Styela clava: one gene and its partner. The protein of the gene in region 2 interacts with the protein of the main gene of each other region in a pairwise test. Links are inferred from orthologs where the notes say so. Each region holds a gene or a part of one and is shown on either strand. Other genes may lie near its edges.

Region 1 (12,745 bases), on a different chromosome or scaffold from region 2:
CAGATTATATCAATGAATGACACTATCATGAAATTTTACCTCCAAATCGTGAGGTGTGCCACTATAATCTTGGCATGCCATCCATTTTAACAACATAGGAGTGGCATAGGCTGTCGAAATTGTGGTTTTTAAGATATTGAAAGTCTCCTAACCTTGTCAAAATCATAGGAAATACAAGGTCAAATTTCAGTGCTATGTTACATTATAGGGTATACTAACAATATTGGTATAGTTGGTAATGTGCATATGAAATGTTCGATACAGATCTAGTGTAATCAGTGTGGCCAGTGTGATTTCAATATTTTTAATATATAGTTGAAATACATGGTGTCCATAAAGTCCTATTACAATTTCAATTTTGTTATAAAGTCAGACTTTATGGACACCCTATATATCTTTTCAAATAACATTAATCTTTCCCCTATTTTTCATCCCTATTTTTAACACATCACTCTTTTAATCATGTCCTAATCTAATCTAATATACATATGGAAACATAGATAATTATTATTTATATTCAATATTTTAAATTTGTGGTATCAAGAATAATTTGGACTAGTTTCAATTTAAAATTGTCAGATTGAGCAGTTGAAGTCTTACAATATAAATAAAAGACCTTCATTCCATTTCTTAATTTCTTAAAACTGTGGTTAATAAATAATCACTGATTATTGCATCCCCTCCCAAAAAAAATAAAAAAAATGTAAAGCCGATTTCAAATATTGTTTAACATTTCTGGATGAACTTGATGAATTTTCTCAAAAACGATTAAATGAATTTAATCCACTGTTAATCTTCTGCTTTGATCAATTACAATTATAACACAGTTCAATTGCATGATTCACAAGTTCAAACACATTCTCTGCCGGATTAAATCAGACTTTTGTAAAGTTAATACTTCGTTAAGCCAACTTCAAAGCAAGGATGATCGAAATGTGAAATTCTATAGCATAAAAGGAATTAAGGAATATCATCTTAAATTATTCACTTGGTTTTGGTATGATTCAGTTGGAAAATTCGAATAAATTTTGATTTTATTTTAAAAAGCGTTAGATAATTTTTGAATATTAGTGACTTGAAAATTACAATCAAAAGAAATATATTATATTTTATAAAATGATTACGGCCCCAACAAAGCGAATGCGATCGGCCGTGCCCCAGCGCCCTCACGGGGCTCCAGGTCCGAAAAGACTCGTCAACGGCGGACACGGACTACTCCTATAAAGATATATGAAAGTGGATTCCAATGATACAATTCATCCAAATACAATCTGCCATTACATTTTGTGTGGAGCCTATTTCAAACAGAATAAAACATCTCATAAACCAGTGGTTCCCAAATCAAGGCCTGTAACGATTTAATATGGCCCGCCGAACTTAAGTGAAATAGTTAGACACTTTATGTTTTTTCTTTTTGCCTCCAAGATACCACAAAATTGTTACATGATCATCATTATATTATTGTAACAATTCAAATATATCGATATGTTATTTATATGTACCGGTACGGGTATGGGCCCCTTGCGGGCACTTTCTCTCTTGGCCCGCATCCTTCCGCTTATAATTTTGGCCCCCGGTCAATCAAGTTTGGGGACCACTGCCATAAGAACATCCCATAATCCAGCTATTCTCAGACATTAACATGATCTTGTTAAAACATCACTGTAATCATGCTACATACAGAAATAAGAGACAAAAATTGACGAACATTATTATTAAGGTGCTCCTGAAGTATGCGAACCAAGATGGCGGACATCGAAACGTAGCATGGGTAACAGGTTAAAGTTAGGCCATAATTTTATTCCAATTTTCCCTATTTTAGTCCTACTATGAGTTCGAAGACTAGCCAAGTGCCTCTTGTAGTATTTGTACCTAAAATTATGGCCTAACCCTAACCTAGTACACATATTACATTCCGATGTCCACCATCTTGGTTCGCATACTTCAGGAGCCCCATTATTAATGTATCTCAGACAATTTGCAACTAAAGCAACTTTAGTAAGCAACTAAATTTCCCTGTCAAACATCTGACAATCTGTACTTCATCTTACCTGATTTTTCTTTTATTTCACAAAGGACTTGAAACAGAGCTCCTTTCATTCTATGAACATTCAATGCATGTTTCCTGAAAACATGAATAATATGCATTAATAAGTTAATTTATAGCAAATAGAAATAAGAGAACCACGCAGCATATGAAAAACTTGAAAATTTTGGCTGTGAATGGGAGCATATCCACGGCCCAGGAAGCAAATAAAAAATATCCTGAAAACTTTTAACATATTATATTCAAATATTCGATTCATTGGTGAGCTATCAATACTAAGTTTATTCTTATAGTTTAAATCCCAGCCTTGAGCACAACTTGTAAAACAGTCAAACATGGGTATTGATCTGACATTGGCAAAGTAAGTTTGGTAATTCAATCTGGCCCGCCTGATGCAGCCACAAATAAACTAAAACCAAATTTTGATGTTTTATCCAAAAAATAACATAACCCAAGTAATTTGTTGAGATTACGATTAAATTTGATTTTGGCATGAGGCTTATTGTAACACTGCAAATATTGTAACACTGCAAATATCGTTCATAAAATGTAACGTTTCATGTCACACTTACATGGCCCGCTAGTCTAGGTGGGCAAAATTGTTTAGCCCCTGGTGCAAAAATCTTGCTCCTCTGGTATAGATAGACAACATAATGTACCATATAGGCAGACATGTTTGGTGCAAACATCCTAAGACACCTAATTTACCACCACCTTACATAGTTTGAGATTTCCCGCTACAGATTTAAAGGTGTAAATAAAGTGAAAACGAGAATATCGGTCGGAGACCGAAGACTTATAGATCTTAGATCGGTAATTAGTTAATAACTCGCTAATTATACGACATAATTAACCCAAAATCTATAGGCTTCTGGTCCGAGGTAAGATGCATGCACATGCAAAATTTGGAGCAGATTCAACCACGCGTTCGTGAGATATCGCGTTCATCTAACAGACAAACAGACAAATACCTATCAACATACTTACCGATCTTAAGATCGATAAGTAACAATTAGAAATTTATTCAACATATTTTCAGACATCTTGTAAAAGTTTCATCAGCACAAGAGTGAAAATAAAATTTCCAAAATAACCTGGCTTGAGCTTCGTCCAAACTTTGGTCAGTAATCGTCATAATCTGTTGCAAAACATCACTGATGTCTTGTTTTCTACCGAGAGGTAGAATATTTGATTGTGAATCTACATCGTTGCCTTGTTGTCCTCGTGGATTGTAATCTCCACCTCCGTGCATTTGCCCTTGCAAAAATGCCTGGGAACGCAAAATAATAATGTTAGTAATGCAAAATTCACCCTGCTGATTCTGTAGGGTTATTTTTGTCCAAAGACATATATTGTGTTTAACGTTTTCACCAATTTTGCAGCCAAATCAAACTGGCAGGGGATATGTATTAGAATTTCAAGTGTAGTATCTAGTGTCATAACAATTTCACAGTCTCAAAAAGAATTGCCAAAGTACCTCGCAGTTTTTGCAAAAAGTGCGCTGATAGTGAACACTGTAGCCCAATGCTTTTCAACATTGTTTCCACGAAGCGCTTATTGGGGTTCTGTGGGATTTGGTAGCTCGGCGACAGATTCTCTTTCAGTGGACTGTGTCAATTTCCCTATACCTATATGTGTGAAGCAGTAATTTCTACTCTAGTAACTATTATGAATTAAAATATGAGTCGCTTGAATAGTGGATATGTGCATAAGGATTGCACTGAGCAACATGAAGCCACGATTTCAATGAAACACAGAAATATTCGACTTTCATAAATTTATAAGTGTTTTTGAACAATCGTGGTTCCTTGATGAGACCAATATCATAATTACAGTAGGGCACAGTTTCCTGATTCAAAAATGTCCCCACATTTGGTGCAATAAAACAAACACTTTATTTGTCTCGGAAACCAAGGCATCTGGACCAAAATAGCATTTTTTTTCATAACTCTCCAAGCTACACTGCTGTTATCGAAGCCAAAAGTAGGGGTTTGCATTCACTGTTATAATTGATGTCTTTCAATGTGGGGTCTTCCAATTCTCAAAGAACTGTGCCATACTGTATTAGATAAATATAAATTAAGTGCCACATGCTTTTTGGGGCAAAAATAATGCACTTAATGCAGAAGTTCTACTAGACTATAAATCTAGAATCCAAGTTTAAGGGTAATTCGAAATTTTCAGATTACATAAGGACAACCAACAGCATAGACTCTTAGAGTAAGCAATTGAAAGTGAAATCTTGAAAACTAGACAATATCATTTGAGATTATGCCGGTACAGATATAGATAGATAAGATAAGTTTATTTCGACTCCATAATCAGCAAAAAGGCATAAAACGGTTGATAAAAACAAATAAATAAAAACTGATTATGAAATCAGCAGAGTAAACAAAACCTTGGATAAGGTTTAAAACGTACAGAATACTGGAATATAAGATGGAAGGTACGGGTATTGCCAAAAAGAAGTGGTACGTGTTCATTCACCTAAAACTATTGAATCAAACCATTCACACTCACACACATGTAACTAGTATTAGAATATTAATCAAAATGAGAATTTGCAAAGTCATTTTTCAACTGATTGAGCAACTCACCTGGCTGCCGTAATTCCCTTCATCCATTTGTAGCCACAGAATTTCCTTCAATTTAATTTTGCTAGATCCAAAATCCTGAAAATTACTTATTATGTCAAAATGAAAAGAACGAACTAAATCTGTAGTCTAAATACAAAAATAACCTCCAGTCTGCCACTAGAATATAGTTCATTACATACCAAAAAAATCCAATATGGATATCTACCTGACCTACATAAGTCTGTAAGTAGGCTACGGTATTACTTTATAGATTACGGTACCACTTTATACAAAAAAAAATAATGAGAAAAGCGTTTTTTTCACACAAATGCACAACTACATAAAAATGAAACGACCCATAGGTCCCTGTTCGTGTTAATAAACTAAATTAGATCCTCAGTTTTGGTATTACAGAACCTCCAAAATAAGTAAATATGCCAAAATAAACAAAAGTAAATATCATCCTACCCGAAAAGCAACAAAAGTTTGAAGCAGCAAAGCGCAACTTCGACCGACTTGCGCGTGAAAAAAACACTTCGAGTGCCCACTTGTGGTCAAACTAGAATTTACTCTTATTTTATATCAACCCCGTGCAACTAACTTGTCCCATTATGGCGTCATATGGACGCCATTTTCGATCATTCGGCTCGAGTAGTGTAACGCAAACAAGCCTAATTTTAGTAGTTTTAAAAGGCTATTGGGGCAGATTTAAATCAGTAGTTATATTCCGAGGGCGCAGAAATCCGATAGGATGTCGGGGCATTTACATTAAAAACCCACGACGCTCGGTAACAAACATAATATAGACGCAACGCACGGTTAGTAAAGTAAAGTTTATTTCGGTTTTTCGTAACACTAAAACAAATATATAGGCAATGCAAGTCAACACACACTCATATAGCCTACGGAAAATCGGGAAAGTAGGCAAAATCTTAAACTATTCAAGACCTGCTGATGCTAGGGCTACCAACCGTCCCGGGAATGGCAGGGACAGTCCCGGATTTGACGTCTGGCGTCCGGAATTTACTGACAACCGAAGCGTCCCGATGGCGTGACAAGACCTCCGTGATGATGTTTCCATTAGGATAGTAGACAAACACAGTTTCACACTACAACAGGCCTAAATGACTAAAACTAACTAAATTTTTCGACAGTGAAGGCGACGTCAAATGGGACTGTAGCTAAATATTGATGTCAATGTTACATTAGAAATTCGCCCCTTTTTAGACACTCCAGGCTCCAGCTGCATAACTGAGTTGTAAACGTTCTTACCAATGGCAGTACAATGAGAGAGAGAGATTTCAATATTTTGTCAACCAAAAAATACAGTCATCAATAAAATAGCCATAGCCACAATTTTGAGAAAAACGCAAAAAACAATTTGGAATTTTTTCATTCTTGAATATCTATTCTAGTCTATCTATTCGAAGTGATCAATATTAAGTTTAACCCTGAGAGATGACTAATGGCAAAACTTGAACTATTTAGATAATATTTTTACAATAAATTTGTGAACAAAATGAGGGGATGTGATGGAAAATTATACCTGACTGATACCTGAATTCAATGGGGTTCGGACGATAATAATCAGAAAAAAAAAAAAATTGGCTATAAACACAAAGTGGATCAGGGACAAAAAAATTAATGTGATGAGGATGTGTCTGAGCGTGAATAACAAATAAAATAAAGTGCAACCCAGTGGACATACACATTACACAGAAACACATTGGATAGGGCAAGAGGAATTCTATTCATAGGTTTGTCATGATCTGAAAATGTTTAAAAATTGCATGAACTTTATACATATGTTTGGGATTTTTGCAACCTTGCACTCCAAGAATGTTAATACTTATAATGTACTTATCAATAAGTTTTAGCAGGTCGGGTTTTGAAAATGTTTCTGACTCACACAAGAGGATCAATCAATAGAAAAATTCAATAATTCACATCTTGGGAATCGTGTCTACAAATCAAAGCGAGCAATGATTATCATAGGAATAGTGAACATTTTTATTTAAATCTTTGGTGTTACAGTATGATTCATGAAACCATTACAAACAAACTAATAGTCTAGAATTTGGAAATAATTTGATTAACCAATAAAAAGAAATGATACTTCATATCAACTATCAAAGACATGAGAAAAAGACCATTCAATTGATCAAGAATAGCATGTAAATACCTTAATATGAAAGACATAGAAAAGAAGTGCTATTCGATTGATCAACAATTAAAATTTTAACAATTAAATAACAAAGAAATGAAAAAGGTACAATAATTGAAACTTCAGCAGTATGTGTACCAAGTGACGGTTAGCCCCATATTTCATTCCGACCTTCCTCATCTTAGGTCATCACGAGCTCTGAACTGCCCATGTCAGCCAAGCGATGGCGACTACATACGAGTGGCTGATTAAAAACGCAAAAAAATAGCACCCCCGTGTTATAATGAAAGTGTTATGTTGTTTCATATCGCAAAAACGATTAGAGGGAAATGCCCCCCCCCCCCCCCAATTTTCACATTTTTGTACTTTTTTATATGACCCAACATTATAAGTTTCTGACACAACTGGTTCGTCCTGGAGTCGGCTGTTTCAATCAAACCCAAAACGTTTAAGAAATGATTTACGAGACATTCAAACTGGCAATTAGAGTTTACTTTGGCATTCACAACTCACTGTAGGCCTATTGTTATTTTTTGAAACTTCATCTCAGTCAATATTTTAGTTGATACAATTCTTGATGATTTGAATTTTTTGGTGGATTTGGCACATCGAATATTGTCATTCCCTTTTATTTTAATTTTTTCCATTTATCCGTACTCTTCGGTTCAAATTGGTATTCTTCAAAAGTGAGTCTGAAAAAGGAATGAGTTGTAGGTTACACAATGAACGTACTTTCGAAATACCAAGCGTTCAGCATCCCATTTTAACACAAAATATAATTGACAGTGACTTAACGAAACACGCATTCAGTTCAGAAATTCATTATTTCCACTAAGCTCCGAATTGTCTACTCATATTGCTGCTAATTACTATAAATTTTTGTTACTGCAGTGCTTTAAACAATCGTGACAATAAATCTGATACATTCAATGCAATGTTCTGACTTTGCATTACTTAGGAAGATTTGAAAACAGTTTCCCTAACCTGCTGACCTGACATCTGAAGCCAGCATTTAGAAAATCTTACTAATTTAACTCAACTTTCCTGGGGTCAGAGCTAACTTAAATGAGTCGAATCGGCAACGTGACATAAATAATTAAATATGACATCATCCTAAAACTGTGTACCACCTATCTTTCCTGGTGTTAGTTTGACATTAGGCCATTCGTTTGACTAACCTCACTCAAGGAACTGCCTGGGCCAGATTTCCAGCCTTTACGTCGCCTACAGTTATTTTCCCATTTCCTCCTTCTCTGCATCTGATGATAGCTTCAATAGTTGCACTGTTTTGCTATTCCCGCTGCAATTAGAGTCGAACAGCCTTTAATTCTATAGCAGAAGGCACCAGCCTAGCCGCGGATCACGCAGAACCGCCGTAACCTCGCAGGCGATATTGATCGAAAATGGCGGCCAATTTCCATTGTTGCGCAACTTAGGTATATAAGGACTTTGTTTTATATCAAGGGCCGGCAACCAACTTGCCTAATGTTAAACAGGTCCATGGACGCCATCTTGTGCCATATTTGGAAAACACGAAACAATGGAGTCTTATGGGAAATTTTCGTCGTGTTGTTGTACCGAATCAAATAACTCAGCTGTTAGTGGAGCAAGACTGAAACCGAAGGGTGGATTTTCAACGCCAAGCTATGAACTATGTAAATATGTAATAAAATATGAAGTACAACACTATCTATTGCAAAAAAATTGGCCGCAGAGACAACGTTGTGCAATTTTTCGATCAGGTCCTCGGAGATCTTTATTGCGACATACCGATTTGACGCTTAACAATGCAAGTATTCTGACGCAACAATGGATTTTATGTAATTAGATCCAAGTCCTTATTTAAAATAAAAACCCTACACAATTCAAATACCTTGTGAAAATGGGATTTATTATTATCAAATTATGTATTATTTTGCTATAAATCCGAACACGCGTAACTACTCTTGCGCATGGAACAAACAGTCGAACACGCATAGTTCACTAGGACAAAAATATACTGTATATTTGAACAATATGTAAGTGGCCGACGGAATTTAGCTGAAAATATATTTTAATAGTATAAATGCATTCGTGTAATATAATTAATGATAACCGTAACGTTGATGAAGTAGAACATCGAAGAGTACCTAACAAAATCGAATAAATTAAAAACAATCAAAAAATTTCAAAATGGAATCAAAATATATATACAGGTCTTTGACTACCTAATATTTGTTGCGCGAGCAGCGCTTCTGCTAGCATATTGGTGGCATATACTTTTTTGGGTTGCTCTCCTAGCATAAATTCGCATTCTCAAGAGAATGTATCTATCTATAATTTTTTCAATTAAATTATGGCAACTGGAGAACAATGGTCGTCTTAAGCATTCGATTTTTTGTTTTAATAATGCTTTTGGATTAGGCTGCAATTTTAAAGTTTTTATGTTGAGCCGAAAAATAGATTCCAGTTGTTGAAAATATTTAAGCAGGGACAGTGATGGATGAATCAGGTGCATCGAATTTTCGGTTGATATTAAGTCTTTATTATATGATTTAAAAAGTGTTAAAAGGGCTTCGGGACAATCCTTCATATTGATCGTATATTCTTGCCTACAAAATGATTTTTCACACGTTTCACATTTTTCTATATTTTTAAGTTCTTTAAAAACAGCCCATCCTAAAATATAATAAAGCCCGTTGGACTCGCAAATGTCCATGCAGACGACTGCAGATTCAATAAGTGCGTCCACTTCATTGATTTCGATGTTCGGTTGTGGCTCATCATTCGTCAAAGAATATGAGGCATTGCTATGTTCTTTTATAAATGTTATCAAGTTTTCTGAGTCGTCCGTGTCGTAATTTCCACTCGAGGGAACGTGGAGAAACTGACCAACCGATATTAATTTTATTGCATTTCGGAATTGACATGCCTTCGGATGCGAATTTCCCTTACTTCGCACCTGTGATGTTAAAAACATTTCATTCAGAGATCACCATACGACTATATAAATGCAATTACGATTTATTTAATATATTCTATCGCTGTACTGAAAGATAAGACAAAAAATAACCTGAGAGAATAAATTCTCTACAGCATCTTGTGTTAGTTTTCCAGGTAGTAAAAAATTCATTTTTCCGCCTAGCACAATGTCAGCATGAAGCCCGATTATCGAAGTTGTTGATAACTTAATACCGGATTGAATTGGCTTCGATTTGTTTCCTGGAAATACTAAATTCTGTACGACGCCGATCACCTAAAATATTTGGTGCCCGTTTAGTATGCGATTTTACTTACAATATATATGATGTGTCACTTACAACAGACCTCGATAAGGTGATCGAGCTTTTTTCGAGAGTTAGGGAACAGAGCATTATCAATGGACCTGGCGTTTACAATATCGAACCATTTGTTGAAGAATGAACAGAAGAATGATGTCGACAAAGCATCTCTTGGCAGTACGCCACTCTCCACAAGCGTTTTTATTGCGCATGCTGTACTATGACTGATAACCTATGAAAGATGGAGTTTAATGTAAAATTCTAACTCATTGGTTTATGAAGAAAAAAAATGATTTAACAATATTTTATTTCAGCAAAAATGTGAAATTACGACTTTTATACTGTTACTTCAATATTTTTAAATAGGTAGAAATATACTGAAATACAGGTAGACCTGAGCCGCTAGACCAACTCTCATTTTTTGATATTTTGAAGGTTTTATATGCTTCTCCGTGAGCTTTGGGGCAAGTTTCATCTCTTTTTCTCTCTGTTCATCTGCCACTTTCTCAACGTAACAGAATCGAACCTGTGGTTAGATAAATTTTAGATTTAGCCTATAGGTATAATACACTTACTGCGCATTTTTATCAAGCACATTTTTGATACTCACCATTTTTGTCGGAAGATTATATTTCGTAACGACAGATGCTGGCAATTCAATGTCATGATTCATAAAAGCTGTTCGTAAATTTTTTATAAGGTGCGGTACGTCGGCAATAAAATGAAGTTTCCTATGTTCGAAAGCAGGGTGAGGCACAGACCAATTCACTTCGAATCTAAAATAGAGTAAGCAATGAGAAGTTAATATGGTGTAAATTGTAATGGATAGGCTTCTTCGTGATATATGTATACGCGGATATCACATCCTTAAAATTATTCAAACCTGTTAGAAACTATCCCCGCACTTCTCCACATTGCTTGATTGCTGGATCCCATGTCGCTGACAATAGAAACCACCGTGAATCCACGTTCTGATAGAGCTAATATCATTTGTTTGGTTAAGCACCATAGGTCATTTCCGCTCACAGAAGTTCCGGTGTAAAAATAACCTGAGAAGTCACAGCAAATTGGAATAGCCTACTATGTTTGATAGAAAACAACAAAATAATGAGCAAAACAAAGAGTATTCCACCCCACCTATAAGCTGCTTCCACTTCAGAGAAATTCCCTTAACCATGAAACATAGCGCATGTGAGGCAAACGTGTCTAGAGGTTTTCCACCAAGAACTTCAGGGTTAATATAACCAACAAACTCCTTAATGCCAATGTCGTAGTCGACTCCTCTGGATATCTGAACCTCATCCAGCATTACCGAACACAAATGAGCACGAGTATCCAAGCCTTCCATTTTTGTCTTCATCCAATCCAATATCAAATATTGAACCCCAGCTTTCAGATCCAATTTGAATACCCGTGAACATAACGTTCGATAAGCTGGAAGGGGGAACGCTATTTTGCGCAGATATTCGTACCTTAAAAAAACAAATAAATATATCATGTTCATTTGCATTCAAGGTGACGTTTACCGCAATGTTTATATGTATTACGTATATATATATATGTATCATGTTTCCGGAAACGCAAAATTTAAATATATTTTTTTTGAGCATGCCCAGAAATTAATTACGCATAATTGGTTTTTAACAACTTTTAGAATCTCAGCAGAGACTGAACTTATTTTTTTTTTATCATACCCAGAAATTCCTGTCGCACATCTAATTTGCAGGGCAGAAAGAATTGTTTCGTCAGTCCATTGATTTGCCCTGCTACCACGAGGCTTTTTCAGTGATTCCAGTTGGTCAGGATTCAAAAATGTATGTAAATTTTCCTTCAGTTTCTCCACTTGTTTTTGTAGTTGTGAAATCTAAGATGCAAGTAACGAGAAGATTTAATCAAGCTCAATAACTATGTTGTTAGTTCAAATTGACTAAAATACACGTTAATGGTTATCACTTAGGTTGCACCAGAATTTCGACAATTAAGCAAAAAAAAACGTAATATTTACTTGGAATTTTAGTCTTCTGTTTTCAGACAATAGTGCTCTGCAGGTAGAACAATCAGGCCCCGTAGTACTTTTTCCTTCAGCTAATAAAGCCTCATCTTCTGGCACCTCGGAAATAACCTGACGGGAAACTGGCCGACAATAGCTGTGTTCACATACTGAGATGCCATGATATATAATGAGAGTTTAAATTACAAATCAACAGATAGTGGCTATGTCGTGTGATATTTTATTTATTACACATAAAATATACACATACACGTTTCAAACAAACGAACAAGTAATGAAAACAAACAAATAAGTGCAGACATATAAGAGGATATATAACAGACGTACATATAAGCTAGGGTGACCATATTTCCAAACCGTAAATGGTGACCGTGAGTATTCGGCAGTTTTTTTGATCTTCGTCAACATTACCGGGTTATTTTTTCCTTATCGTACAATTGTCTGCAAGAATGCCGTTAAAATTGGGAACTAAGTGGGTATACTAACAACAGACTCAAAGCATGGATACTTGACATATTACAAACTGTTGATTATATCATAAGATAAATTCAAATATTTAATCCCGTGAAAAAGGAGGACATTTTGGCATTTTTAAGCGTCCTCGGAGGACGTAAATTCTTTATTAAAAACGGAAGGCAAATCATACACAAGCAGTACGTATGGCCACCCTAATATAAGCAGACATAC
Region 2 (13,370 bases):
CTATAGAGTCGTGTGTTATAAACGATGCAAATAGCGTATATTTTTATATGTTGTTATATTAAATACGATATTACTTCAAAAGATTTGATAGAATTCTTTTTGCTGTAATACTGAAATCATCCAGCAACACACCTGGGTTGTTTTGCAGTATCATTCTACGCCAATATTTTATATAAAAAAAAGTCACGCCGTCAAATCAAAAATGTGATTGATTACCTGATTGATACGTTGAAGCTTGAATGGATGTTTTTGTTCTGTATTTTTAGTTAGGACAAAAGGTAGTTCAACAATTTATATGCATATATATATATAAGAACTCCAAGTCCAAGGCCTGTTAGTTATTAATATACTAATATATGAACATTGGATGCGGCATCAGCATTTAATATTTGGTATTCAACCATACCGATATCTATGAGGAAGCCTCCATATTAATCCTGGCGAGTGACGCCCATCAAAAAGTGAAAGTAACAAAGACTACTAGCGACTGGGCGATGATGGCAGTTGCTATCTTAAAAACGGGTGTGAAAAAGATTAACGTGGGCGATGGTACTTAACTTCATTTTATTTCCGGAATTTTGTCATTTATACTCCTGGTCCTGTTCAAATTTTACTAAAGATAGCTTCCATTAACATGTGGCAGAGACTTCACATCGTTTTTAGTACCACATAATACGTTGATGAAATATTTATCTTATGATATAATATAGGGGTCTATAGTGGAGGAATAGTGAATCACAATGCTTTTTATATTTCAAAGTAAAAGTTGCACTTTTGCCGAATACCGTCCGTTGCTGCGAAGGAAGAAACGTTTAGTGATAACAGTGTTAAAAACGTCGACAAAATTTTTTCCGTATGGACATGATACACGGTTTGGCAAATGGGGATTACATTGCGAACAGCAGATTCACGTTGCCCTAGTTTTGTCGTGCAAAATTGAAATTGAGAGAAAAGATAGCGATTTTCTTGTTAGTTATATCACGAACTTATCATTATTTCTTCCAGTACAATGCGTCATACGTATCAAAGAGAGGTTCAATATCAGCTACAGCAAAATAAAGACACCTGATATCAAAATCGTTTTTGTAGGCTTCGTAATTTCACGCTAACCCTTAAATTTTAGGTTCGTATTGTTAAAGTAATATTCGTGCCATTGTCATGCAATCTTATTTTTCTATCTCGTAATACAGGTCCCATATTATCTTTTACAAAAAGATGATTATCTCCCCTTCAAATTTAGCAGTAATTTTCTGTTCGTTTTTGTTTAGGTAAGTAACTAACAAAATAAGCAACAGCGCTATTATATACAATAACAAAATTACTAGACGAAATTTTAACACATTATTGGTAACTCGACTACTATATGTGGTCAAATTAGTGTAACCGTTTAACAATTGTGAAAAGCCTCGGATTGATGGTGCAAAGATATGCAAATGTGAGAATAACTTCACTTTAAATAGACATGAAATTTAGATAGTTGTGATAAAATATAAATTTTATTTTAAAAATGCATCAATGGATGGAAGAAAATTGCTGCCTACACAGCTGAAACAATAGAATATTTATGCCGGCGGCTAGCAGCTAATTCTTTGCGACGTTTTGGTTTTACAGTTGAAGCTGAAAATCGGCATCAATAAAAAAGCTAGTAGAAATACAATTTTGTTTATATTCAATTTATACCGCTAACGGATTCATATGTAGTTTACTTTTGATATCTGGTTTTAACCGTTCCTCAAAGATTCCGCCCTATTTTATGTAAACGTTATGGTTTTTATTTTTGATCATATCTTGAGATTATCGTTACTTTGATTAAGGTGGCTTTTTGACAATTAAGTCTTTATATAATTTGAATTTCATGTTGTGGTTTCGAGTGCTATTTTGATTTATGTACCAAGTTTGCCTTTTTGTTGTTAGCCATTTATCTGCAATGCTGTCGTCATACCCTGGTAATCAATTTATAGCTTTCATTCACAACGGTTAGGAAATACAGAAAGAAGAGATTCAGCATTGCATAACTTACCAAATTATCAATTTCATTGTTTGGGTCGAAAGATATCGGTCTTTTTTCATTTTGAATCTGTGAATATAAAATTTTTTAAGTGTTAAGTATAGTAATATTGCACAAAGAACTGATGACACAGAACTCCGCTAATTATTCACAGCAGTTGAAATTATTGACTGTTTCCAAGTCATCAACAAAATGTTATTGTTAACGATTTCATGGAAAGTGTAGCAGGGATCCACCAACGGCGATTTGGTCTAGTTTTCTATATCCATACAATTAAACTGGAAATCTATTTGAAACCGTGACGGTGCTGTTCGTTTATTCGATTAAAAATTGGCACTCGATTACAATAGGAAAAAATCAGAAGAATGGTAACTGAACGGAGAAGGCAGTGAGTCGTAATTAGAAGTGTGAATAAAAATTGATAATTGGCGATAATCAGCGGCTGCGAATCGACATGCTCGATTTACAAACAGGGCATCCGATGGAAAATGGGTGCGGAACAATTATTACCGCTAGGAATAATTGAAAGTAATATGGTGGTAACAATATCATTATGATGGAGCGAAGGAGAAGCCAATAACTCGTACTGATTTTACGGCGCACTGCTGCGATTTGCCGGAGGTGACGATTGTTAAGTGAGAAGTGCCAAATTTGGAACGTCATAATCCGAGTCGACCTTTCCTTCACCCCGAATCCACAATCGACGACTCCAGATTTATTTCTCTTTTTATTAACCCATTAACAGAGTTGTAATGTTTTGCACGTTGGATTAGAGCGATAACAATTTGATTCTGTCGTTACCGTCGACACACTCTCATTCACAGATACGGACCATCGAATTTGAGAAACACATATTATTATCCTTGTTTCTGTATTGTTTCAGTACACCAATTATGCTAGATGAAAATGAAGTATTGCCGAATCTACTGTTGTTTCTATTTTGTTACAAGAGGTGAACAAGCAGCCACGGACGGAATCATATCGACTCTTAATAAACATTATTTAAAAAAGCAAATTTGGAGTAAAAAACGCGATTACGAGACAATGTCTCGATATTAAACAATATTTGGGTTACTTCAGAAATATTGGTTACAGCTTGTCCATAAACGACAAAGGCAACGTGACAAAATGCAAGTGTTATCAAAGTTCATGACAAGGTTTATGCCAATATGTCACCAGAAATATTGAACGACCAAGATATTTCATTGCATTGCTTCCGATATCGTGATGGGTTATAAAAGAGGATCGCCGTCAGTTTTGACGAAACCAACATGGCCGACTTGTCATAATAATTTGCAACGCTCATTCATCGAGAAATCCACGTTATATGAATGGAGCAAATAGGAATATTACAAAACATAAAATTAATTACGCTAATTTATTCGTTCATATGGATAAATATAAGCAGAAGAACAAGTTTGCAATAAAATTTAATTTGGAGGGCTCATTAAGGTCATATTTTTCAAGGTGACACTATCTTCCTTATAAACTCTTTTGCATGCATTTCCATTAAGAAAAATGTAGATTACGAAATTATATAGTCAGCATGACAAGGAGAACAAGACCACTGTGATAAAATACCACACACAACTAATGTGGCGTATATATGAAAAGACAAAATCTTTGTCGTCATATGCACTCAAGGATAATGTATTAGTACGTCTAATATAATCTTGACAGAGTAGCATGCTTCTATTAAATTTAATTAGCATGTGATAACATTATGCAGTTTTCCTACCTGCTTAGCAAAACAAGCAATATCTTCGTTAAAGGAATCTGAGGAACATACATCACTGGCTGTTACGGTAGAATCATGCGGTGTGCAAGTTGCAAGTTCGCATTTTTCAAATACGAGTGCTAGTAGAGGAAACAAGGGATGTCTAAATAGAAGGAAAAAATGTTAACATCAATACTGAAAGAAATTTCATAAGTTTCTGAGCTGAGAAGATAGATAAAAATAAGCAGTCAATCATTACGTTTTTGAATTATTTCGTCTACTATTTCGTCGTTGTGTGTACATGATATATATAAAATAAAATCTTTGATAAAGCAATAATAAAATGCTAGGATTATAATATTGAATATGCCTAAAATTAGGAACACTTTAAAACTGTGTTTCACCTCAAAAATTAATCTGTACGTTTTTGATTCAATTGCACAGTCAAGTGTTAGTCATATTTCCTGTCTGTCATTCATAATGAAAATAAAAATCTCATCAGAGTTTTTCTATCGGAAATAGATCACACTTTAGTTAAATCTTTTTATTGTACGGTGCAATACAGTTTCCGATCTGATGCGGAGATTAGCCACGGATTTGTGATTATTCTTTATTTTGCGTTTCCACGTGCCCTAGTTTCAAAATCGGCAAAGTGTGCGACAAACAATAGAAGAATGTCGATGGCCTTACTATCTTATTTCCCCAGTTTGTCTTTGTATTTAAAAGTCTCATTAAAACAAAGTATACCTTTAAACGTTAACTACTTACTTTATGAGTATATTCAAATTTATCTGAGGTAATAATAAATATAAACTAGCATACATATTCGTGATAGTGTCTCACTTTAAGTGATATTGTTTGGCACGAATGATGAAAACTATCTTAACATCCTGAAGGAGTCGTGCCAGGGATAGTTATGTAATTCGGTAGCAGACACGCAATAATATGATTATTACACATTTGGCATGAATACATAATTTGAAGCATTCATGTGCGTGTCAGGTTATTTAGCCATATTTGTATTTATCGTCATTATTATCCAAACGTTTAGATATATTGTTGTAACGTGATGAATTTTGCGACTAATTTTTCAACGATGATGGTATATGCATTCATGCTCCAATTTACAAATAAACGAAAAGACGATAACGATAAGAAAACGAAAATATCATCAACCACCATAAACAAGCGATTGTCCACTTTTATCTATTACACAATTTAGTCAATTAACAATACCACGTTTTCTTATATTTTTAAACTGATTTATTTCAGCGCTTCGGGTTATTTCGGTTTGTGATCATGACTTGTGGCATGAATTTTGCATATTTTGGAAATATTTTTTTACGGCATTCATTGTTTGATTGTTTAGTATTTCAATATTGAAATAAATACTTTTTCTGAAGAATTGGGATATTTTTAGCATGTATAGAAGAAAGAATCTCGTTGTAAAATAAATAAAAAAATTCGGACGAACCCATAAATATAAATTAGTTGAAAATAGGTAAAATAGTGTATATTTGTCATGTTTAATATTTGATATTATTATAATATTGATATATAATACGATTAAAAATTATATCTTTGGAAACATTTAAACAAAATTTGTATTTAAAAATTCCATACTGTAAAATGGAGCTAACAAAATATATTGTGACATTTTAATATAAAAAATAAACTCACGAATAAATTGTGTCTTTATCACGTTTCATGTTCAAACGTTCTGTGTCATTTAGCCTATCGTCTATGCCTGATGATCCAGGTGCTTGTGTATTATGCATAGAGTTTGACTGAGGAGTGATAGGCGCAGAGGCCGGGTAATGCGACATAGATCCACCGTGATTGATGTGCGGAATATGCGGCATCGACCGATTGATTTCACCGTTGTATAATCCTCCGCTTACCGAGTTGTTTGTGCTCATATCCGTTGCTGCCATGCCGTTGTAGTGGCCCATATGATCGTCATACTAAAAAGTATATTATAGCTTTAAATAGAATCAGCCCCAACTATTCATAAACACTGTCAAACGGCTATTCTACATTAAAAAGTTTATTCTTCAATGCTGTCGTCACAAATTTATAAAATGGCTGACGGGTTGCTAACTATAATTAAATTCGACTTGCTTCCATGATATTTGCTTTTTTTAACAACTTCGACTTCAATAAAACGTTACCTTTTTGATTCAAAATTTTTACACAACGCACAACTATCGAAAATAGACAAAAAAAAAACGACAATCGACTATAACAACTCCAATATTCATCGCAACTCACACAAACTGTCGCGGCCATTTGAGCCTTTATTCCTTCTTCAATTCTCACTTTTCTGTGGTTCTTGACTCTCCACCTCGATTCTAAGCTACTTGTCCGACTTCTGGCAATATAATCCGGTTTATGACAATACCGCGAATGCCGTGCTTTGCTGGTCCAGGTGTATTAGCATGCGCGATAATGTAACAAAAACACACAGGTACACTAATAGTATTAACTGTCACGTATTGAACTGCAAAAATGCCGAAATGTTACACGCGCCGCACATTAGCATAACCGTGCGAGAAAAAGAAAGCCTGCTAGATTCGTAGGTGCGTGTATGTACCTGCGTTTAAAGATGTGATCTGTCTGGCCTGAAAAGCGACTCCATTTTAATTGGTACGGCGTTAGTTCTTTGTCTGGAATAATAGTACTATCTGCGTTATCAGCATATTTCAACAAATATTACTTCTTCCAAAACTAGCATAAGTATATGGAGCATAACAACTGAATCAAGACAATTTTAATAGCTATATTCAACTTTCCAATTATTCAAGTATCACGTTCTATTAAAAATATTTTCACTTATTTTTTGATGACTACACGCACTAGCGTAACCATCGTCGCGTTATCTAAACTAAAAGCTACCCAAATTTTTCACGTCTAAATCATAAAAACGTCACTCCCCTCCGGCCAACTAACTATAAGTTTGAGATATTAAAAGGCGACTGACTCAGTGTCAGCGAGGTGATGAACTACGGTGGTCAGTTTTCACGCTCGGATTGCGGCATTTCTTTTCGGAGTTGGAAGCGCAACCGCATTGTTGTTAACTCCTCTCTTACGCTAAGAATGTGGGCAATGCGGATCTATTGCTTCGAGATTTGTGTCGCGAACGTCGTAATCAGAAGAAGGCGACAAGTCATGGCGGAGTGTGTATATTTTTCTTTTACATATTAATTTGTTGACCAGAGGCTTTATGCAATCCAACGTAATATGCAAATATAAAACCCTAGATCGGTCTAACACCATGATTATCTCGATCACCTAAAGAAATCATTAGAATAGGTGAGTGAGTACAATAGCCGTGGTGCATAATCTACTCTAAATAACAATGCCTAACCGAGATACGACAGGTGTTCGCCAAAATAATAGTAATATATATATCATGAGGCCTATCATGAGAACTGGTTAATGGAATACACATGCAAAATATGAAACCTGAAAATACACAGACTTCAGTCTCTACAATTCTAAACCAGAATACCTTTCTGTTTAAATATACTGTATTTGCATATATACATATGATGATGACTGAACAACATGTTTATACATTTTCACAACTGAGCAAAATAATTATTATAAATTTATCAATTTCTAAAAATACGAGATGAAGAGTGAAAATATGAAAAAATGGTAAAAAATCAATTCGATTTTTTATCAAAAAAGATTCCCTAAGGCAATATGTTCCATTTTTTCTTCAAATTAAATATCCTATCTCTTGGTGGTTCATTGTTTTACTAGGAATAAAACAAAAAAATTTTAGTGCTGCTTTTTATGCGGCGCAAAAATCCATTTAAATTTCAAATGCCATTTGCTTGTCAATTTTTGAGAACCTAGCGTTCTTTCTGCTGTTGTCGTAAAGTACAAGACAATAAATCGATCATTTATCATACGCACTAGAATCGACCTGTGTACCTCAACATTACATGGTGGATATATGAAGGCATGGAAAAGAGAATTATTCAGCAGTTAGTTGAATACTTGAACTCCAGGGAAAATTTTCACCGCTTTGCCCTAGTATTCAATCAAATATCTAACGATGAAAACGTTAGTTACAAATGAAAATAAATTATGGATTTTGAAACATGTTGCCAATTGCATGTTAAAAATTTAACTACAGAAAGAAGTGAAATTTTATTGTACATATACCATCATAGATCGAACTTCAAGTTTCATACTGTGATAAAACCTCTGCCAAACACAGTAGCCTTATAATCCCAACAGCAAAGGTTGATTGGCATCCGCGTTATATCGAAACAAAGTATCCAGCAGTTAGCTAAACCCATGAAAACGCGTCTTGATCGCGCATGAAAATAATTTGCAAAAGGCGACTGATGTATTCAAGGATAAAATATTCAAAATATGGGAGAATACTTGCTTTGATTTGATAAAACAGAAACTCGATTCAATCATGAGAAATTTATAATATTATGATAACAATATGCCAACAAATTATTGCGATGCTTAATTGCTGCAAAATATTCAATACATACTAGTATATTTCATGTAAAACAAAACGTTGGCAAAATATTTTTTGCAAATTTATTTTCATTGAAATAAATAAACATACATACATGCTTCGAAAGTGTTTGTTCTTTTCATAACAATATTGAGTGACATAATTTATTCAAAGTTAGCTGCAGATATCTTTATTTTCTAAAATTGACGTTCTTAAACATACTTATACAGTTTTAAACTTTCCTGAATGTAACCACATTGCTGCAATTCCATCTATTTTCTCAGTCAAAAATTATAATGCCTAATATTCAACTCGTACTTGCTTCAAACTCTTTTTCAAATGTTTATTATCTTACCGTTTCTGTGTAAAGCTTCTCTAAATACCCTAGAAATACAGCATTTCATGATCTATAATGTTAAGCAAAAATATAAAAAATAACTTACCCTATTTGCCATCCAATCGATCTCTTTTATAGGTGAGGATATTTATTCGCAGCCTTTCCGAGTTAAAAATAAATCCAGTGCTTGAATGCAACAGTAACAACAAATTACTGAATCACTCATGAAATATTAGGTTAATGTTGAGTTATAAAAGTTCTAAGGCATGTAATGTGAAATACAATCAGATTAAATATTGACCTGAAAGTAGAATGTTAAAGGTCAGCAACTGGTGCATCGAACAGAACATGGGAAAATACAGGATGCAAACACCTTGGCTCTGTTTGCGTTTATATTAAAAGAATTCGTTAGATAGAATATTTTGAAAGCATAGTCTAAGGTCAATCATCTTTTCTAAATATTGAATTAACATCCTTTTCATTAACATAAAAAAGAGACAATATATCGTACGAAAATCATTGATACATTTGTGATTGGTAGGCTTAACATGGGACCGGACTACAGTACAAGATTATATAATTTTACGTAATATGTTTACTTTGAAAGATAAAATATTGGTACTGTTAAAGCAACATGTGATATTTACGAGCTTGCATAGGCTATCCCTAATAACGTCAACGAAACTAAGCCGTCACTTTACCAACCAACAAACCTGATTACCTTCGTTAAGTTGATACAATACAATAGAGTTTCCTTTCTCTTTGACTTATGTTGCAAATAAGGATAGCCTACTAAATTGACTGTGTCCCGGTAACCACCCTTGTGATACATTGTTTTATGGTCACAAGAAAGTTATTTCAATAAGTAATATACAATCAAAGCTGACATCTCTCCAACCAACGTTACAACAAAATAAAGCTACCTGATTGTGATATACGTTCACTAAACTACTATAAGAGAATGCTATACCTGTATACGTACGTATACGAGGATAGTATGTTTAGTCTGGAAAGCTTCCCCTGTTCAGACTGCGTCTTGAGACTCTCGTGAATCGTTGAAGACGTGAACTCGGCAGACGTAGTTACACTATCGTATGATAGACGTGTCTATCCAGAAGTAAAACAAGCTACCAGAATAAACATGGACTGTAGGCGTCCATTTACACAATGAATAAACATTTACAAGATATAGTTACCTAGTTCGCTGCAAAATCGCCATTTTGTTATCGTTCCGTATGATCGCAAGTTCAAGTAAAAGCAATGAGTGTGAAGAAAGGGGAAACAAGCGTTCGATCGACATTTTTTCCGCTTCATCAATTCACCATTGCAACTTTTCTCCATTTTGTTTCGATCATATAATTCCGAAACAACAAAATTTACGCACAATAAAAATTTGAGTGCCGGTTAAGTCAATGAACAACTTTAAGCCTATCTTCCAGAGATGGGCAATATGAAAGAAAGCGATATTCACAATTTCGAACGCGTAAATCAAAAAAATATATATAAATTTCCATATTCCTTATATCTACATCCCATATAAAAACCTCAACATTGAAGAAGGTCAAAATCGACAATGAGCTTACTGACAATCATATAAAAATCAAACAAAGTAGTTCTACTGGTTCTCGATTTCGTTTTGTTTTTGAAATGAATTGTTGTGTTGGTATGTGTTTGTGCAATTCTTTCCCACTCTCTATCAGCTCTTGAAACTCGTTATCGTCGCCTGACCGTTTGTTGACCTCGCTGAAGTCCTTCTTGGCTATTAACAACCCCTACAGCGAGTCCGTAGAGCGTGAAATACCAAAGCAGAACGCAATCCCCTTTTTACGTCTTCGCGTTCGTAGGAAGTAACGAAGCTGACCAGATTCTGTTGATGGGAACGTATCATTGTGAAGTAGCACCGGCTTCTCATGCTGCCCTGTTTCGCTCAATTTACAGTATATGTTGTTTTTGTCCCATCAATTGTCTTATGCAAGCGTACTGAGGACAATTTCTTTATTGTTGACTAAATCGATACTTAAGCATAGAAATCAGACTGCGAAATAGGCGTGGCGGGAAAGTTAATCAAATTTGTCAAGCATTTTATATTGCTTCACCATTAGCAAAGACAATGTTCCATTCGTAACAAAACCCGATCGAGATTTTATTGCATCGAATCATCTTTATTGCTTACTAATGAGGTGCCAATAAAAAGTAACTGCATGCCAGAACGCAACAACGAATATATTTTGAACCATTAAAATAACCTATACAAAAATATATCAAATGCGTCTATTTTATCAAGTGACGTCTGAAATCCAACTTGTGTAACTAATACTTAACCTTAATTCTAAGTCGTGATTTATGATCAAATGCTTCCTGTAGGGATGAAATCGATGCAACAAGATCACAAGATAATTAAAAGACAATCGTGCACTTTTACTATATGAGATATGATACATGCCCTGTATTCAATCCGTAGTATCTTATTTCGCTTGCATGGAAGCGTCCAAGTTAGAAGTGCAATATCACTCGTCTTGAGTGTATTCAGTAGTTGATGGAATAGTTCTACAGAGTGCTAATTTAGAGTTTAATCCAGTGGAATATTGTACCTTATATTAGACAAATATCACCGATTATGCACTGACTACGAAAAGTGTGGGTATATGATATCATAATATATTGCAACAACTACAGTAAGATCTTGTAATCAAACCATACACGTGCTATACATATAACCGGTACTTTGTCAAAAAATTTTATGAACCTGCCAAATTGATTTCCTATAAAAGAGGAAACGCTGGAAACCATGTGACAAATGAAAAATGTCTTCAGACCCTGTTTGCTGCTTGTCACATTAGGGGAAGTCTGTGACAAGTTAACTAGTGCGGTAATAGGAGTGTTAATGAGTGTTAAAACAAGCGATAATTAGATAAAACATGACAACCATGCTTATTGTTATGCAAATTAAACACTACAAATGTTTCTGATTCACTTTTTTTAATGGTAAAAGAAAAAGTCTAAGTCTGAGTTGTATAAGAGAAACCATTTATAACTAGTGTATCTCCTAGTGTTGCGAATTCTTGCTTGCAACTGCCTGTATTTTTTTAAATAGGCTATCTTGCTTTTGTTTGTGAGTGTATTAATTTGCCTTCGCAGATCAGTATAGAGAAATAGTACTCTAATAAATTTTTTCGATGGCGAATTCTCGACTGATTTTTTATGCAATGTCATTTTTTTTTATCATGAAATACATCTTTATATGATGATCCAATTTTTCATTAATTATACTGTAAAATACATGTCGCTTTTGAAGCTCGTATTATATCATATATGGAAACCACATTTTTCTGGTCAAATTCAGGGTGGTAAAAGTGATTGACAGGTTTTAAAAAGCGAATTCAAACATTAACGTAACGAGAGTTTATCAAGAAATAAATCGTCTCGGTATATCTAAAAACGATCAACCGAGTAATAGAAATTAACGTAAAGTACATTTGGCTCATAGATATGTGGCACTCCCATCTACTGATCATGCTCTGAAGAAAAATGATTTAGGAAAGAGATTTTCACCTTGATGCGTTTAATCCGCAATCGGATAAAGAGATATTTGAATTTTACAATCAAAAACAGAATCAGCTCGTGACTGGATAACGAGAAAGTTTATTATTCTAATGATCTAATCAGCACCGAACATCATCAGCCTATTTTGTTTTTGAAGTTTTGTGTTGGTCGTCGTCCACACATGCTTCTTGTACAAGAAAAAAAATCGAATAATAGATTCATCCCATTAATATACGTCAAACTGATAAGTAGGATAATATCAGCAAAAAATTGTAAAATTAATTTTTGCCTGAAGAATGATTACACATTAATAGCATGCATTTTTGCTTACCATTTTTTCAATCTACAGTATATTCGGTGCTATCAACACAACAACTTTTTATGGAAAAAAATATTTACTGAAATATTTAATTTTAGTACTATTAGTTCCTATGCGAGGAAATAACTGTAAAACCATGCAACTTGGTTGTCCTACGTCTGAGTTTGAGACAACATAATATGGTGCTTTAAAAAGTTTGTACCAAATGAAACAAGCATAACTTTATACCACAACTTAGAACGAATTGTGTTATTAAAATTAATTGTGTTATTCAAATTATACATATCAGTCCAATTTTTGGTAATCAAATTTTGTTAAACGTCAAATTTTAGGTGGGAATATATGAAAGTTTCATGTTCAATAAATTTGAAACTGGTAATATTATGAAAAACGGTGTTTTAAAAAAAAAAAATTTGAAAAAATTGTTGTTTTTTTGCAGCGAAGTCATTATATTTTTAATATCAATAAAATGTTGAATATATTTTATGATTTTCTTCAAAATAGAATAACTAGATTATTAAGAAATTCTTGTAATAGGTATGTGCAGTATACTAAATCCATGTAATAAATATGGCAGAATAAAATGAGTAAAATAACCGCATTAAACTTGATATATTGTTCCGAGTTTATTCTAATCTGCTTCAAATAACGACTCATACAAGAATAAAATAATCTCTTATGCTTTCGATACTTTCAAACGAAGTAATGTCCTCAAGCACAAGATACAGGCCACGAAACATGGTTTATGTATTTACATAATATTCAACTGTAAAACGTACCGTCATGTTGTATTATAGTTTTGACACTAATTTGACTACTGCGTACTTTATTTGAAATTGATTGACGCTGTCTAAATATGGAAGACTGAGAAAATTCTGTATTTTTACATGGAATATTTCAGAAAGTTAAATTAAGAAGTTAGGATGGATGTTATAAATGATTTAACATTTTTTTCATTAT

The links.
Region 1: the proteins of homeobox protein Meis1-like (region 2) and pre-B-cell leukemia transcription factor 1-like interact in binary tests that used the Caenorhabditis elegans proteins (3 or more experiments, as listed by UniProt). The link is inferred for Styela clava from reciprocal best matches to the Caenorhabditis elegans genes unc-62 and ceh-20.

Annotation. Positions count from the first base shown.
Region 1 is NC_135254.1:7,434,643-7,447,387, reverse strand, and holds the start of pre-B-cell leukemia transcription factor 1-like, read right to left. Parts: upstream 5,161-12,745; 5' UTR 5,092-5,160; intron 4,720-5,091; 5' UTR 4,672-4,719; coding exon 4,645-4,671; intron 3,318-4,644; coding exon 3,142-3,317; intron 2,126-3,141; coding exon 2,052-2,125; intron 1-2,051. Other genes in the region: uncharacterized protein LOC120327068, read right to left, coding at 9,250-9,307, 9,400-9,728, 9,840-9,899. UniProt on the Caenorhabditis elegans protein: Transcription factor that binds to the 5'-TGATNNAT(G/T)(G/A)-3' PBC/Hox lineage enhancer region of sem-2 to promote cell fate specification in the postembryonic mesoderm (also known as the M lineage).
Region 2 is NC_135253.1:13,940,964-13,954,333, forward strand, and holds the start of homeobox protein Meis1-like, read right to left. Parts: upstream 6,637-13,370; 5' UTR 6,015-6,636; coding exon 5,997-6,014; intron 5,690-5,996; coding exon 5,406-5,689; intron 3,889-5,405; coding exon 3,747-3,888; intron 2,078-3,746; coding exon 2,021-2,077; intron 1-2,020. UniProt on the Caenorhabditis elegans protein: Acts redundantly with ceh-20 and ceh-40 to perform overlapping roles during embryogenesis.